Linked DNA regions of Sus scrofa. The protein of the gene in region 2 interacts with the protein of the main gene of each other region in a pairwise test. Links are inferred from orthologs where the notes say so. Each region holds a gene or a part of one and is shown on either strand. Other genes may lie near its edges.

Region 1 (5,958 bases), on a different chromosome or scaffold from region 2:
TCTGCATCACAACACGGAGACCCCGCATCTTAGCCCTTTCACTGAGCCTGGCAGCATGAAACAGGTCACAGCCCCACAAAGAGGAAGCTCCCGTCAACAGCATCTCCAAAAATCCATTCAAAAGGGGATCTGCCTGTGGCCAGTGATGCAAATTCAGTGTCACTGAGAATTTATATGTGTGTGTGTGTGTGTGTGTGTGTGTGTGAGAATTTCGTTTAAAATCAGCTCATTTGTGTGTTCAACTGGCCCTCACTCTGTACCTACAACTGATGGAAACCAAGCCAGGAGTTGCGATCAAAAGATTCATTCATTCTTCATTTAATAATTATTTATCCAGTACCTGCTGTGTGCCAGGCACCTGCCAGGGGTCCTCTTTGATCAGGAGAGACATGGCCTCAAAGCTCCCTGTCAGGAGGGAGGTAAGTACTTCAAGGAACCTTCAGAATCAGAACAGGATGCAGGGAGGCACCAGGTGGTATGGGAGAACGGGGTGGGGTAGGGAACACTGGTCTGGGTAGAAAGCCCCATAGAGCCCTTATGAACTGAGCAAGTGAACAGAACACACGTCATTTACTGCACAAGTCTTTATTGAGCACTTATTGTGTGCCAAGGACCTTGGAGGGCATTTAAGGCGACATCAAGCTATAGTCCCAGATTCAGACAATAAGTGATGCCATACCCAGAAGAAGCCAAGTCAGCTCCAAAAGGCAATGTGGAGCTAGCCTTTTTTTTTGGCCGCCCCAGAGGATATGGAGTTCCCAGGACAGCGCTCAGATCCAAGTTGCAGCTGCGACATTGGGAACAGCTACTTTTGTTTTTAAATGGAGCTGGAGGCACCCAAGGACCTCCTAATGGCTCCAGGGTGTAGACCACTTTCCCCATCTCTCACTGCACAGACTGCTCTCTACCAGGCAGTCAAGATCCCCATTTAAATGCTGTCCACCTCCCTGGACCCTCTATGGCTCCCCAGGGTGGGGCTCACAGCACCCAGCCTGGAGCAGCAGCTCCATCCACCTCCAAGGGAATGAATGCTCTGATATGAAGGCACCCAGAAGTTCCAACCGAAGCTTGGAAGAGGGCTGGTGATGGAGACACAGAGCTCAGAGGCTGACAGGGGTCACGGTGCCACAGGGAAGGATGCAATCATCAAAGGTGGTACCAGACGAGAGGCAACCAGGGAGGGTGGAGCTCACTCTGGGCGGGAAGAAAAGATGGAGGAGGAGGTGGTAGAGGCATCAGGCAGGTGCAGAGCCCTCAGAGGTGACCAAAGAGTGAATGGAAAGGAGAGGTCAAACTGGAAGAAAGCCCCTGGGGGCTCTGTAAGGGAGAAGGTCAGTGGAGCAGACCCAAGGGATGGGCGGCAGCTAGCGGAAGCTGCCACTTCCTCCTCTTAGGGAAGCTGGCTGGATGGGAAGGCGAGGATGTGGTATTTAGAATAAGAGATTTCCACATGCTGGGTGGATAGAGGGGCAGGAATGACTAAAGCAGCAGCAAGAGGCCAACGAAGTCAGAGAGCAGGGATAGGTGGCCCGAAGATCTGGTGAGTGAAGTTCACAGAGCTGAGCCCCGGGAAGAATGCCAGGCTCCTGGTTAGGGCGTTGTAGTCTCTGCCTTCCCTGACCGTGGAAGACACCTTGGAAGAAGCTCCTGGGCACCGTCTCCCTGGGAGGTGGGCGGGACTGCTGGCCAAAGGTCAGGGCAGAGGCAGCTCCACTGAGGAAATGGAGAAGGACCAGCGTGGAGGGGAAGGAACTGGGAGGAGCAGCCAGCTGTCCCCTTCTCCAGGCTGCTGGGCATAGAGCTGGACCCACGAGCAGCCCTGAGGACCAGCTGCCCCACGGGCGAGGGGGGAGCAAGACAGGCTGCACCTGCATGCGGAGCCTTGGGGAAGGTGAGCTAGTGAAGGGCCCTGAAGGTCAATTCCACGGTTGAGGGAGAAGACTTTCAAAGAGATCAGCGAAGTCGGAGGGGCAGGGACCCAAGGAGACAGTATTTCGTGGCTTTCAGGAAGGGAAATTGGGAGGCAGTCAGGAAGATATCACCAAGAACGAGGAAGGGTGTGTGCAAGTTCCTGAAGAGGAAAAAGCAGCTGAATTTAGCAGCCTGGGTGGCGGGGGGGGGGGGGGGGGGGGGCGGGGGGTGAAGGTCAAAAGTATCAAAGACTTTACAACAGCCCAAGGCTGGAGACTCAAAAGCCTAGGTCCTGGGCAGGGGGATGGGGGCCAACAAGGAGTGTGGTTATGACCAAAAGCTGGTTTTGAACCAGGCTGTGCGACTTACTAGATGTGCCACCCTGGGAAAATTATTTTGTCTCTGTGCCTCATTATCTCCATCTGCGAAATGGGGAGAATGCTACTTTATAGGATCGGTGTAAAGTTTAGACAATTCCTATGTACAATGTTCAGAAGCATATCGGCGTCTACAGGGAACCTCCCAATTTTATTTTTCAGTGGCCTCTATCCAGTGGTGGGTGAATGCCAGAGGGGCTGGCTGCGGGCGAGGGGCATCTGCCTCTATGGGTTTAGGCCAGGGTTGTAGAGCTGCAGCGTCCTCCCCGCCCCCCACCTGCCCCCCGACCAGGGATAGTGCAATGACTGGGGGACAGACTTGTGACACCTGCCCAAAGACTGCTGCCGGGAAGGCCTAGTCTCCCTGGGAGAGCGGGCAGAAGGTCAGGGAGGTTGGACAGGGGCTAGACCTCCTCTGCGCACAGTCACGCGTCCTAGGTTTTACAGATCAACCCAGATTTCGAAACCTCTGCTCCCTGGTACCCAAGAGGACAGCAGAACTCATTGCCCCACACCCTAAAGTCCAGTCACGGCAAATACAGGACTCCGTTCTGAGACTGCATTCCTTGCCAATGACTCTCTGGCCAAGGAGAAGGCTACTTTTACCAAGGGCAAGGGGGATAGCCTGGGCCTGCAGAGGTGCTCACTCAGTCTCAGGCAGACAGAAAGCCAGGGAAGGTGACAGACCAGGGGTAATCACGACCCCTAACCTTGAGACATATGGGGGGGGGGCGGTACTTGAGAATTTAAATGCAGCTTCCTCTTTAAAATCTGCCAGGACCAGGCCCTTTGCTGCGCCAGAGTTCTGCTCTAACTCACAACAGGGGGTAGAAGGAGGTGGCTTCTGCCTGGCCCTCCCTGCTGGGACCCCTCCTCGCCAGGCAGCTGCTGTCAAAGGCTCAATTTCCCCCTCTGCCCAGGAGACCATTGGCCCAGGCGCTCCTTCCTAACCTCGGGCCCACCCCACCCGGCCCGGGCCCCGGGGGTGGGGGAAGCAAACTGCCCAGGGGCTTACGAGATGGGAGGGCCGGAAACGGCAGCCTTCAGGGGAGCCCTGCGGATGCCAGGGACCTCTGCCAGGGGAGGGGGCGGCGCTGACCGGCACGTAGTTCCCCAGTAGTGTCCGGCTTCCCTGGCCATTGAAATCAGATAGGTGGCCCCGAGGCTGTTCTGATCCCAGGGGACATGCCGCCCGCTTCCCCTGCTCGGCTCAGGCTGGACGGTGCAGGGGGCGGCGAGGGGAGAGGGTAGAAAAGGGGTGGATCGCCGGGGCCCGGCCTCCCCGCGCCCCCCAGCGGGGCGGGGCAGGGGGATCCCAGACGCGGCACCCGAAACGACTGGTCAGGCGGACCCCAAGAGCCCAGCTCGCCCCCTGCCCGCCGGAGCCCCGGACTCACCGGCCTAGCGGAGGCAGGATCCCGGTGTCGCCGCAGTGCCCGGGGCTCGGCCCGGCCCGGCCCGCTGGCGGGAGGCTGCTCCACGCCGCTGCCTCCTCGGCCCGCCCCGCTCCAGCCCCTCCCGCACACTTTCCACAGGAAATGATTAACTCGAGGCCGCGGCGCGTTCCCATGGCAACCGGCTCCGACCCTGGGGGTGGGGGGGCGGCGCGCTCGCTCCTGCACACACTCACACACTCACACGCGGGACCGCCCACTTCGACAGACCCTCCCGCTGGGTCTCCCCAAGCCCCCCGCCCCCCCCCCGCACATGCCTGTGCACACATGCGTGCTCATCCGGGCGCACACGCACCGTCCTACGTGCTCACATATGCACGGCACTCACATATATTTGCACACATGCTCTAGGGAGTCTACATGAAGGCACTCACATTCTCACACACATTCCCACGCTCATTTCAACACGCATGCTTTTGCACTTACACTCAGACGCACCTCCTCACTTTCACACGCACTGCACTAGTTACTGCTCACACACACACTTCTCACAAGTGCTCCCTTGCTGCCCTTCGCATGCTCTCACAAACTCCAGTACACGTTTACTTGACTTCATAGCACACACACTTACATACTCTAGCTAGTACCTATGCACACTTGCACATTCTCACACACTCACGTTACCCCATGCTTTCTCACAAATGCTGTACACACTCCTTAGGATACACACCCACTTGCACACATGCATGTTCTCACATGATGGCCAACTCTTTCTCACACTCCAGCCTACGCGTGCTTTTAAACCCCGGGACACACTTTCACATATGCTCTAGTTAGCACATGCATAGTGTCACACGTTAGCACAGGCATTTTTCACGTACATCATCTTGCTAGCTCTAAAAGGAGTACACAGGCCAGGTTGCCTCCCAGCCAGGGCACCACCTGCTGTCCCCCACCCTCCTTACCCCTTCCACAGCCCCCTTTCCAGAGCAGAGATGTTTGAGATTCTTTAAGGTAAAATATTCCTTTAAGCTCCCGTGAAAACATGTACAGAATGTAGCTGCTCTGGAGCAAGCAGCAGCTCCCACTGCAGCCCCGGAAGCCCCCTCCCCCCCCATAGAATGCCCCAGAAGAAGCCTGGGGGAGGCTAGGGAGCCGACCAGCCAAGGAGAGACAGCTGACCCGGAGGAGCCACTCTGTTCTTTGTCTCCCAAACAGAGGCAGCATTTACTCCAGAGTCAGCAGCAATATTCCCCCTCCAGGGTGCGGAAGGAGGAGAGAGGAAAGAAACTCAGAAGCCAGCCTAGTGCAGGCTGATGGTTCCGAAGATAATCCGAGGGGGATGCGCGTGCTGCCCCTTCCTGCTTAACTGGGGAGGGGCCAGGAGAGGACTGGAGGGGCCCATGCAGCTCCAGATGGGTTCTGTCTCCTACCGCTGGGCAGGCGCTGGGCTAGTGGTCAAGAATCTCAACCAGAGACAGAGCCAAGGTTCTGGGCCTCAGATTGTTCTGGATGCCAGACCAGGCCAGACCAGGACACTCACAATCCCTCTAATAAAAGTGAGCTCCAGGGAATTCCGGTTGTGGCTCAGTGGTAACGAACCTGACTTGCATCCATGAGGATGCGGGCTCCATCCCCGGCCTCCCTCAGTGGGTTAAGGATCCAGCCTTGCGGTGGCTGTGGTGTAGGTCAGCAGCTGCAGCTCCGATTGGACCTCTAGCAGGACCTCCAAATGCCGCAGGTGCGGCCCTAAAAAGAACAAAAACTGGGCTCCAGCGTTCTATTTTCTCACTGAGATGCCTCAGCAAAGGCGCAATAGAGGGGGCAGGTCACTCTCCAGGAATGGCTCCCTGGAGAGTTAGATTTCTAGCCAAGAACCCTGGAGAAGCCTCCCAATGGGTGAGCAAGCCATCACTGGAGAGCTCTCTTCTCTGAATTCCCTTGCCAGCCTCCAGACAGCAGGGATCAGGAGGATAGGAGGGCCGGAGGACCGCAGATTTTTTCTAGATTCCTGACCAAGTATCTTTCTTTGTTATCCGACTGGGGAGGGGTGCGGTGGGGGTGTCTGTCTTTAAAGTCCTGATATAGAACCGGAAGCCTTGTCTTAATTGTAGCTGGTACATTGACATGAACTGCAGGTTCCTTCTGACAAAGCCGAAGCCAGATTTCTAAATTAATAATAACATTTATTGTTCTTTTTCTCTGATTACTGAAGTAATAGATGTTCATTGTAACCATAATCCCACCCACTAAAGATAAATGCTGCCAACATTTTA
Region 2 (5,290 bases):
TCTGACATCAACCATACAAATATTTTCTTAGGTCAGTCTCCCAAGGCAATAGAAATAAAAACAAAAATAAACCAACAGGACCTAATCAAACTTACAAGCTTTTGCATAGCAAAGTAAACCATTAAAAAAAAAAAAAAAAAAAAAAAAAAAGACCTACAGAATGGGAAAAAAACAGTTGTTTGCAAATGCAACCAACAAGGGCTTAATCTCCAAAATATACAAACAACTCATATAACTGAACAGCAAAAAAACAAACAACCCAAGTGAAAAATGGGCATAAGACCTGAACAGACATTTCTCCAAAGAAGACATACAGATGGCCAACAAGCACATGAAAAAATACTCAACATCACTAATTATTACAGAAATGCAAATCAAAACTCCAATGAGGTACCCACTTCACATGGGTCAGAAAGGTTATCATTAGTAAGTCTACAAATAACAAATGCTGGAGAGGATGTGGAAAAAAGGAACCCTTCTACACTGTTGGTGGGAATGCAAACTGGTACAACCACTACGCAAAACAGTACGGAGGTTCCTCAGAAACTTAAATATAGAATTACCATATGATCCAGCAATCCCACTCCTGGGCATATATCTGGACAAAACTACAATTCAAAAAATACATGCACCCATATGTTCACAGTAATACTATTCACAATAGCCAAGACATGGAAACAATCTAAGTGTCCATTGACAGATGAATGCATTAAGAAGATGTGGGGTGTGTGTGTGTGTGTAATATATATAATATATAGCACACACACTCACACATACACACACGGAATACTACTCATCCATAAAAAAAGAATGTAATAATGCCATTTGTGGCAATTGCATGCAGCTAGAGATTATCATACTAAGTGAAGTGAGTCAGAAAGAGAAAGACAAATACCATATGATATCACTTATATGAGGTATCTAAAATACGGCACAAATGAACCTATCCACAGGACAAAAACAGACTCACAGACATAGAGAACACATTTGTGGTTGCCAAAGGGTAGGGGGGAGGGAGTGGGATGGACTGGGAGTTTGGGGTTAGTAGATGCAAACTATCACATTTAGAATGGATAAGCAACGAGGTCCTACTTTATAGCACAGGGCACTATATCAAGTTTCTTGGGATAGACCATGATAGACGATAATATAAGGAAGGGAATGTATATATACAAATGACTGGGTCACTTTGCTGTACAGCAGAAATTGGCACAATGTTGTACATCAACTATACTTTAATAAAAACAAAAACTCTATTCATACCATTAATAAGGCATTTATTTTGCTTTGAGTCAAAAAAAACCAAAACTACAGTTTAATTACCATAGACCTAATGATAAAAACCTAAAACTAAAAACTACTAAAAGAAAACAAGAAAATATTTTTGACATCTATAAAACAAAAAGTTTGTAAATTTGACACCAAAAGTACAATCTAAAGGGAAAAAAAGCAATGAATTGGGAATAATCAAAGAATTTTTGCTCTTTAAAAGACACCATTAAGAGAATGAAAAGTCACAAAATGGAAGAAAATATTTGCAAATAATTTTATTATTTGCATAATCAATTAAAGACTAATTCAGAATGTGAAAGAATTCAATAAGAAAACAAACAACCCTATTCAAAAGGTATGTGGGGGGAAGCAAAAACATTTAACAGACGTTTCATCAAATATAAACAGATGGCAAATAAACACATGAAAAGATGTTCTACATCATTATTCATTGGGGAAATGTCCACAAAACCACAAGGAACTATTATACACCAATTAGAATGTCTAAATTAAAAATATGTGTGTAAAGAATAACAATACCACATGCTAACAAGTGTGCAGAATAAGTGGAAGTCACACACTGCTGATAAGTGTGCAAAACTGTACAACAACTTTGGAAAACGATTTGTCAATTTCTTATAAAGTTAAGCATTCACTTCCCATATTATCCAGCAATCCTACTTCCTAGGTATTTACCCAAACAAAATGAAAACCTATGTACACATACAAGTCTATGTATGAATATATTTGGCACTTTTATTCATAATCACTCACAACTGAAAATAACACAAATTTCCCTCAATTGGGTAAAGTATTAATAAAAAAACTGTGGTAAACCCATTCAATAGAACACTATTCAGTAATAAAAAGGAACAAACATGTAACAATGGATAGATCTCAAATGCACTGTGCTAAAAAGACAGACCCAAAGGCTTTATCACACATGCTTCGATTTATGATATTTCTACAAAGGCAGAAACTTTAGAAACAAAGATCAAGAGGTTGCCAGGGCCTAAGAGGAAAACAGAAGGACTGATTACAAAGGGGCATGTTGGAAATCTGAGGATGATAGGACTGTTCTATGTCTGGACTGTGGTTGAGGTAGTATCATTGCATACATTTGTCAAAACTCACAGAAGCTGCACACTAGAAAGGGTGAATTTTAATCTACAGAAATTATACTTTAATAAAAAAAAGGAAAAAAGTACTTGGTGATTCGAAGACATGACATAAAAGGGACTGATATAAATTTTTAATAAGGCATTTACCTTGCTTTTTGTTAAAAAAAACTATAATTCTTCACTCATACAATAAATTTTTTGAGTGCAGATGAGAAACCAGCAACTGCTATTAAGTTGTAATTTAATTACTAAAATGTAGATGCTAGATAAGAGTGATTTGTCCTTTTTGGGCCTACAACTGATTTAAGATGAATTCCTTATTCTACTGATGCAGGAGCATAACATGATTCTATAGTTAACTAGCTGGAGTGACCTAACAGAGTTGTATATATATCAAAGGACAGCTCATGTTTACATTTACCCCTGAAAAAAGCTTTTCTTAAAAAATGCTATTACAGAAGCTATGCCATTAAACACCATCCAAAATGGATGGATTAAAACGGACTTTTAAAATGTCTTTTAAAACATCTAAGCATCTTGGAGTTCCCGTTGTGGTGCAGTGGTTAACAAATCAGACTAGGACCCATGAGGTTGTGGGTTCGGTCCCTGGCCTTGCTCAGTGGGTTAAGGATCTGGTGTTGCCGTGAGCTGTGGAGTAGGTCGCAGACGCGGCTCAGATCCCACTTTGCTGTGGCTCTGGCGTAGGCCGGTGGCTATGGCTCTGATTTGACCCCTAGCCTGGGAACCTCCATATGCCACGGGAGCAGCCCTAGAAAAGGCAAAAAGACAAAAAAAAAAAAAAAAAAAAAAATCTAAGCATCTTGGCATAACAGTAGGGCTGAATACACATATATTATGAAGTACTTTATTAACCAGCTAAGGTGATGTGTGTCCAAGCACATACATTTTTACAGCAGATCAGAAACTGTTTACAAACCAGCATCATTATTAACTTTGCAAATAAACTGTAGCAATTGCACCTTTTTCTCCTTCCCCATCAAAACAGTCTTTAGGTTGCAATGTTAAAACACCAAAACACCAGTCGACCTTAAGGTACAAGTAAACTTGAAATTCTTAAAAAGACCGCTGTCTATTTGTTTACTAGGCTGCTACAATACGCAATGAATTCTGTTAAAATAGACTTATACTTTAAACTGTTATATCAAATATTTCCTATAAAACATACCTTAAAATTGTCACAGACTTTTCTTTTTGTTGATGACTTAACTGTAACAAAGAATACTTCTAACGACAACTTCTCAAAACTGTACAGAAGACAGCGCCATACTAAATTCATGAATCTCTAGTAAATGAAATTTGAGTAATAAAAACTGTGTATTTGTGCTACTCTATCAGAAAAATAAGAACCTTTACGCAGATTTCCTCAGGAAATTCTATTCTTCAGTCACATGCCATTTTCTAATTACTACCTTAGTCTCAATTTAAAAAAAAATACAAACCACAACAAAAAAATCATAAAATCAAGTTCCAAGTAAGAGAAGAGCCAGAGGACTGGACTGCCTGCCAAGGAATAAGCCCATACTCACCTGTAGGGGGAGTGGAAGAAACAACAGGGGGAGTTGGAGAAGTGAAGCCATCAGCAAGGGTCTGGGCACCCCCAGCAGCAGCGTCTGGGGCAATGGAGGAAGGGACAGTTGCAGGAACAAGAGGGGCAGGGGCAGATGCAGAAGTAGCAGGAAGGGGAGGAGTACCAGCAGAGCCAGCAGGGGCTGGGGGAAAAGAGGAGTAAGAGGCAGCATTAATGAGGCACTTCCATTAGGCAGGATTAGAAATGGTATTAGAGAACTTAATGTTAGATACTAAGTGTTTATCAATAACCAAAGAATAGAAGAGAGTGTTAAAAAAAAAAAAAAGAATGAAGTTTATGTTAAGGATTATTAGGTTTGCAGCAAATAATTCAAGATGCTAAGGGTAATGTACAGATTGTAAAATTCATTAAAAGCATTCCTTTTGGAGTTCCTGCTGTGGCTCAGCAGTAATGAACTCAACTAGTACCCATGAGGCAGGTTTGATCCCTGGCCTTGTTCAGTGGGTTAAGGACCTGGCATTGCCATGAGCTGTGGTGTAGGTCACAGATGTAGCTTGGATACCATGTAGCTATGGCTGCGGTGTAGGCCAGTAGCTACAGCTCTGATTCAACCCCTAGTCTGGGAACTTCATATGCCACAGGCACAGCACTAAAAAGCAAAAAAAAAAAAGCATCATTCCTTTTCACTCGACAGCCACTATTCTGGAAGAAAGGTGCTCCTTTTATATTGTTATTTTTACCATAACATTCTGTAATAGTATACAAAATTAAACATAACACCAGAAAACAACAGTATGGAGTTCTCGTCATGGCTCAGTGGTTAACGAATCCGACTAGGAACCATGAGGTCACGGGTTCGATCCCTGGCCTTGCTCAGTGGGTTAAGGATCCAGTGTTGCCGTGAGCTGTGGTGTAGGTTGCAGACGCAGCTCAGATCTCGAGTTGCTGTGGCTCTGGTGTAGGCCGGCAGCTGCAGCTCCGATTCGACCCCTAGCCTGGGAATCTCCATGTGCCACAGCAGCGGCCCAAGAAATGGCAAAAAGACAAAAAAAAAAAAAAAAAAACCATATTCCATTTTGATTTACACGAATCAGAAACTAAACATGTATCCAGACATAAACATCTTATTGGTAAAAAAGAATTTAGAAAAATACAAATCTCCTTTTCATGACTTTTAAAAAGATATTATCTATTTGTTATTAAAGCAAATTAAATATGTAATATCCTATCCTTAATGTCTTTTGGGTCATGTTTTAAAAACTAAATTTTAACTGTGAGTCCTCAAATTAAACAAGTACATTTCTCTGTTTCAGATAAGATCGGGTGCATTCAGGGTGGTATAGCCATA
Region 3 (5,739 bases), on a different chromosome or scaffold from region 2:
TGGTTCGATCCCAGGCCTCACTGAATGAGTTAAGCATTCGGTATTGCCATGAGCTGCAGTGTAGGACACAGATACGGCTTGGATCCAGAATTGCTGTGGCTGTGGTACAGGCTGGCAGCTGCAGCTCTGATTCATCCCCTAGCCTGGGAACCTCCATGTGCTGAAGGTGGGCCCTAAAAAGCCAAAAAAAAAAGTGTCACTATATCTTCATCAGTTATAACAAATGTACTGCACTAATGTAAGATGTTAACAGTGGGAGAGTCTCTATGAAGAAGAGGGGTTATAGGAACTTCCTGTACTACCTACGCATTTTGGTCATACTCAGTGAGTGAAAGATACATAAAGAGTGATTGAAGTCCACAACTGAACAGTACTCAGCATTTAAAAATAAATGAACCAGATCCACAAAGGGCAACATGGTTAAGTCTTCACTGACTAATTTCAATCGGGCACCCCTTAGACCTAGCAGCTGTACTTTTCACTCGCTGCAGCAACGTGTGAAACGGCAAACAGCTTTAATGACCCTTAATGAGAGGATTAATAAACCGCAGTCCAGTGCATACTACATAAGGGATTGGGCAGTCGTCAAGAATCAGGTAGATCTTTATGTTCCATCATGGAAAGACCTTAGACATTCTGTCAGAGAAAAGCTGCAGACCAAGGTGTACAGTATCATGTCATTAATGGGGGCCTGGCAGGAAATCCTACTTTTGTCTGCGTTACCTACATACAGATGAAAACCTAGAGAGAAGGGTCTGACAGGATCACAACAAACTGGTAATCGCAGTTTTGGTGGAGAAGGGAGTGGGTCAAGGGGGCCTTTAGTCTGTCTGTACTGTTCGAGCATTTTCTAAGAGAGCGTGCATTCACGAGCCACTTGCAGGGCTGCAGTACACAGCCACAGGCTGCACCATATAACCCCAGGAGGGACCAGGCTCAGGGACCCGGATGTGAATGGCACCCCTACAGTTAGCAGTATACATCCTGCACAACTAGATGCCACAGCCCTCATGTTTGCATAATTAGAAATAAATAAGAGGGGAGTTCCCTTCAGGGCTCAGTGGTTAACAAAGCCGACTAGGATCCATGAGGATGAGGGTTCAATCTCTGGCCTCACTCAGTGGGTTAAGGATCAGCCACAGCTGTGAGCTGTGGTGTAGGTCGCAGATGTGGCTGGGATCCCACAACACTGTGGCTGCGGCATAGGCCAAAAAAAAAAGAAGAAATAAATAAGAAGGAAGATCTGTATATACATATATTTTTTTTTTCAAACTCGTCCAATTCTGCATGGAACAGCTATCCAGTTTATTATATGAAAACCATACATCAATAAAGGCGATTTAGAAAGAAATATAAATTAAATAAATAAATAAATAAAATACAGTATCATTGAGAAAACCTGAAACAAGGCATCCAAAATTACAGGACCTAGGTATCCCAAAACAAGAACTGTAGGAGTTCCCATTGTGGCTTGATCTGGTGTTGCTGTGGCTGTGGTATAGGCTGGCAGCAGAAACTGATTTGACCCCTAGCCTGGAAACCACCATATTAGTAGACACGGCCCTAAATTAAAAATAAATAAATAAATAAATAAGAACCAGTAGACACCTGCTGGTTGTACTCTTAAGTACACAGCCCTGAAACTAACTTAGTTCTTCAAGGCTTACTACAGAATGCCAAATTTGAATTAATACTTTATTTTCATGAGGTAACATAGGTCCTGAGATATTTTATATTAAAGACATAAAATAAATGGTTACCTGGCATTCTATTGACTTTAAGTCTGATTTTCTAAGTAGAAATTTTGTTTCTCACACAGAGTGGACACTCAAAACCCTGCCAGCACTGCCTTGACTACATTACCCCCTTCAAAGGTAATTCCATTTATGTGTGATAAAAATCCTCAGAGAACTCATAAAAGGTCAAGTTTTAATTTGGCAGTCAAAGTAACCTAACAGGCACTGCAGCACAGGCAATTGAAACAGCAGCCTGGAGCCTGAGTCCCGAAATCCAACCAAGGCAGAGAAAAGGCAGAATCTCAGCCCTCAAAAAACAGAGATATATCCTCTCACTATAGACCTAAGATCCAAGAACACGAATAAAAATGAAAAAGTGTTCTCTAGACAAAAGTATTCTCCTTCCCCAAGTGATGGAAAAGAGGAGGGCCAGAAATGGGATGACTTGAAGCAATGGCCCAAAGAGTAAGCTCCTGGCAGCCAACATGCAATAAAGACGTGAAAGTGGCAGCAAGGCCAAAAAAAAAAAAATCACACCTCCGTCACTATAGCCACGAAGATCTAAGAACCTGGGTTACTCGGCCAAAAAAAAAGGAGAGATCGAGCCTGAAGAACAAGTAAAGTTCATCAGCTATCCCTACCACCAAATTGATCAACAGGGTTCCGTGTAAAATAGAGCAAAACCTTGCTGGGTTCATTCATTTTTGCAAGAGGCAGGCATTTAGTGCCTGCTGGGGCTCAGGCTCTGTTCCTGTCACTGAGGATTCAGTTAACAGTCATGGAGTTTCATTCTACTTAGGAAGGAAGGGAACTTCTTATCTATTTCCAATTCCCTTTTCCCTTCTCTTACCTATTTCCAATTCTCTTTTCCCTTCTCCCCCTTTAAATGTTAAAAGCACCTTCAAAAACTCCCAAATTCTTCCCACAAGCTTCTCGGACCCTCCTACTTGAATCCCCAAACCAAGCAGTTTTATGACTCGAACCTCCCAATACTGTGAAAAAAGAGACCTAAAATGAATACGGTATGAGGTAAAACTCAAATCTGCTTTGTATTTTATACGCATACCTTCACAATCGGATTGTCCGCACCCAAACAGCAAACGATGGCTGTGTTTTACACAATTTTGTGGATCACGGTTCTCGACCGAAAAGAGCTAATCAATAAACATTTGCTGAGAAGGCTGGAAGGTCTTCCTAATCCCAAGGCCTGGCACAGGAATTTAACAGCAAGCATTCCATAGCTGCATCCTCCCTCCTCTCAGGGCACTTTCCTTTAAAGGGTGACCTCGGGGGACAGGTTCACTGTTAGGCGCCTCGGGAAATAGTGCTTTAGGGCGATGTGAAATAAATTCCCTTCCCTCTGCCAGGGCCTGCCTGCCTCACCTGCCCTCTGCCAGGACCTGCCTCCTTCGCCCCCTTCAACACCTAACGCAGAGCCTCCTCCCAGCCAGCCGGCCTCCGGCAGCATCAGTCCAGCGCCCGCACCCCAGCTCCGCGCCCGGTGGCCACAGCAAGCTCGGGACCCGGGAGTCCCCTCCCCGGCCCCGGGGATCACAGCTCGGCGACGCCAGCCGGGGGCTGCGCTCCATCCCCTCGGATCGCCCCTCCAGGGCCGGGAGCGGCGGGGGCCAGGAGCGGCGGAGACCGCTCGCGCGGCGCCGTCTCCTCTCACAGCGCGCGCGGTGCTGCGGCCCCGGCTCCCAGGCTCAGTCTCCGCCGCTCCCGGCCCTGCACCCCCGCAGGCTCCCCAGGTGCGGGCGCTGCGCGGGCTCCTTCTCGTCCCTCGCGAGCGCGAGGCTCCAGCACCGCGCTCCTCTCCCGCAGCCAGCGGCCGCCGCCGCCGCCAACCCCCACCGTACTTACTTCTCGGCCGGAGCTGGGGGCGTCGAGAAGGTCTTCGGGGGCCGCAGCCTCCTCCGTCTCCTCCGGCCCGGCCCCCGCGGCTCAGGCGGCGGCGGCGTCCGCTCAGGCCCCGGAGCCGCCCCCGCGGCGAACGTTCTCAGGCGCCCGGCTCGCGCCGCTTCCCCGCCCGGCACGCGCAGCGAGCCCGCCCCCGGCGCGAGGGCGCGAGGGCGCGAGGGCGCAGGGCTGGGGGCGGGCACGAGCCGCCTGCGCGAACGCGCGGCTGGGGGCGGGGCTTCCGCCGCGCGGAGGAGGGGGCGGGCCAGCGGGCCTCATTCCCCTCGAGCCCCGCCCCCTACGGCCGGGTTCCGGGAGGGCGGAGGAAACTTGCCCCCTACCGACTTCGCCCGGGTGTCTGCAGCGGGCCGCGGAGGTGCATTTCTACTCCGTAGGTATGGGCCCCGCCACCTGGATGCTCGCCCCGACGTAACTACGAGGTAAAAAATGCAAAGAACCACCTCCACCCCGAATCATTCATCCGTGCCTGGAGCACGAGACCCTGCCCCGAGTGATTTTTCCAGATTGATTCAACCCAGCGAGCAGTTACTGAGCACCGACTCCGTGCCTAGCGCTGTAGCGCTGTACCAGGTGCTGTGTGGTTACATCGTCATCGTCACGGTCCCCGATCACAAGAAGCGCATAACTTAGTGGAAAAGCAGCCATGTAAACAACCAGGTCTGGTGACCCGTGCAAAGCCAAGCCACAGTGAGATGTTGTGGGAGAACAGAGGAAGAGATTACTTCCGCTTGGACAATGCTCGGGGGTTCTTGGAAGAGGTGGCATTTGTGTTCACCATGCAGGGAAGAAAAGGACGTACTAGGAGGAAAAAAGGGGGAGGGGACATTAAAAGCTAGGTAAACAGCTTGGACAAAGGAACGGAGAGTAAATAAAGGTTACCATCTCAGCATCAGCTTTTTTGCTTTAATATCCTTTTTTTTTTTTTTTTTTTTTTTTTTTGTCTTTTTGCTATTTCTTTGGGCCGCTCCCGCGGCATGTGGAGGTTCCCAGGCTAGGCGTCTAATCGGAGCTGTAGCCACCGGCCTACGCCAGAGCCACAGCAACGCGGGATCCGAGCCGCGTCTGCAACCTACACCACAGCTCACGGCAACGCCGGATCGTTAACCCCCTGAGCCAGGGCAGGGACCGAACCCGAAACCTCATGGTTCCTAGTCGGATTCGTTAACCACTGCGCCACGACGGGAACTCCTAATATCCATTTTTGATCAAATCCTGTCCAAACTGTGTGAGAAACAGAAGGTGGTGCCGAATGAGGAACAGCAATGCTTCTTTTAACAGTTCAAAGGATCATTTTCTCAACATTTTTTGAGGCTCCAAACACTTTAAAGACTCTTGATATGTTAGTGAAGGATGTGAATCTCTAAACCAGGAGAGCCCAGGCCGGTATGTTTTGAGTCTGGTTTTTCACTGTTTTTTGGCAACTTATGGTACATCGTGCCACCTCCTGCTGCTGTCTGCCTGCCTGCCTGCCTTTACAGCATCCTCTTCCTCCTCTCATCTCCTATTTTTAAACCTCTATGGTGAAGGAGATGCTGGAAACCAAGTTTGTTAAATTCGAGTAAACAGGTTCCTCAAAAAAAGTTGGCATCGTCTATCACACATAAATTTTGTGACTGTTTTGCATACATAGAAGAATTTTTCACTTGTGTGCAGGGTCTTAGCTATGTTTTGAATGTGTTAAGAAACACAGAATACAGGTAAGGGAGCTCTTGTTTACTCACTACTTACGGAGCACCAATTGTGTGGAAGGCATTGAAAAGGTGAAACATCGATCCTGCCCTTTGGAGGAAAGATGTGTAAATAATGTAAAATAAACATGTAAATGTGGCTTGCTCTGTTTGCCCTATTGATTGAAACCACAGTAATTTCAGTATGTGGTTTAGCCATTCTGGGAATTAACCACTTTTAATATATTCATATTAGCATCTCGCCACCTCAGTTCTGTATTTCTGCACCTCTCACATTCTCAGAAAACTTCTTTCAAGCATTTCAGTCCTCACTCTCATTCCCCAAATTGCCGACTTCTTTTACCTACTTGTCCTTTGCTGTCACCATCTATTCATGTTTGAGCTTTTCCTGCTCT

The links. The genes of interacting proteins can lie anywhere in the genome.
Region 1: the proteins of ABI2 (region 2) and KIFC3 interact in binary tests that used the Homo sapiens proteins (3 or more experiments, as listed by UniProt). The link is inferred for Sus scrofa from reciprocal best matches to the Homo sapiens genes ABI2 and KIFC3.
Region 3: the proteins of ABI2 (region 2) and DTNB interact in binary tests that used the Homo sapiens proteins (3 or more experiments, as listed by UniProt). The link is inferred for Sus scrofa from reciprocal best matches to the Homo sapiens genes ABI2 and DTNB.

What each region holds. Positions count from the first base shown.
Region 1 is NC_010448.4:19,692,307-19,698,264, forward strand, and holds the start of KIFC3 (kinesin-like protein KIFC3), read right to left. Parts: upstream 3,799-5,958; 5' UTR 3,686-3,798; intron 1,892-3,685; exon of another isoform or gene 431-1,891; intron 360-430; exon of another isoform or gene 341-359; intron 1-340. UniProt on the Homo sapiens protein: Minus-end microtubule-dependent motor protein. Involved in apically targeted transport. Required for zonula adherens maintenance.
Region 2 is NC_010457.5:106,859,699-106,864,988, reverse strand, and holds part of ABI2 (abl interactor 2), read right to left. Parts: intron 4,124-5,290; coding exon 3,941-4,123; intron 1-3,940. UniProt on the Homo sapiens protein: Regulator of actin cytoskeleton dynamics underlying cell motility and adhesion. Functions as a component of the WAVE complex, which activates actin nucleating machinery Arp2/3 to drive lamellipodia formation.
Region 3 is NC_010445.4:113,227,220-113,232,958, reverse strand, and holds the start of DTNB (dystrobrevin beta), read right to left. Parts: upstream 3,799-5,739; 5' UTR 3,600-3,798; intron 1-3,599.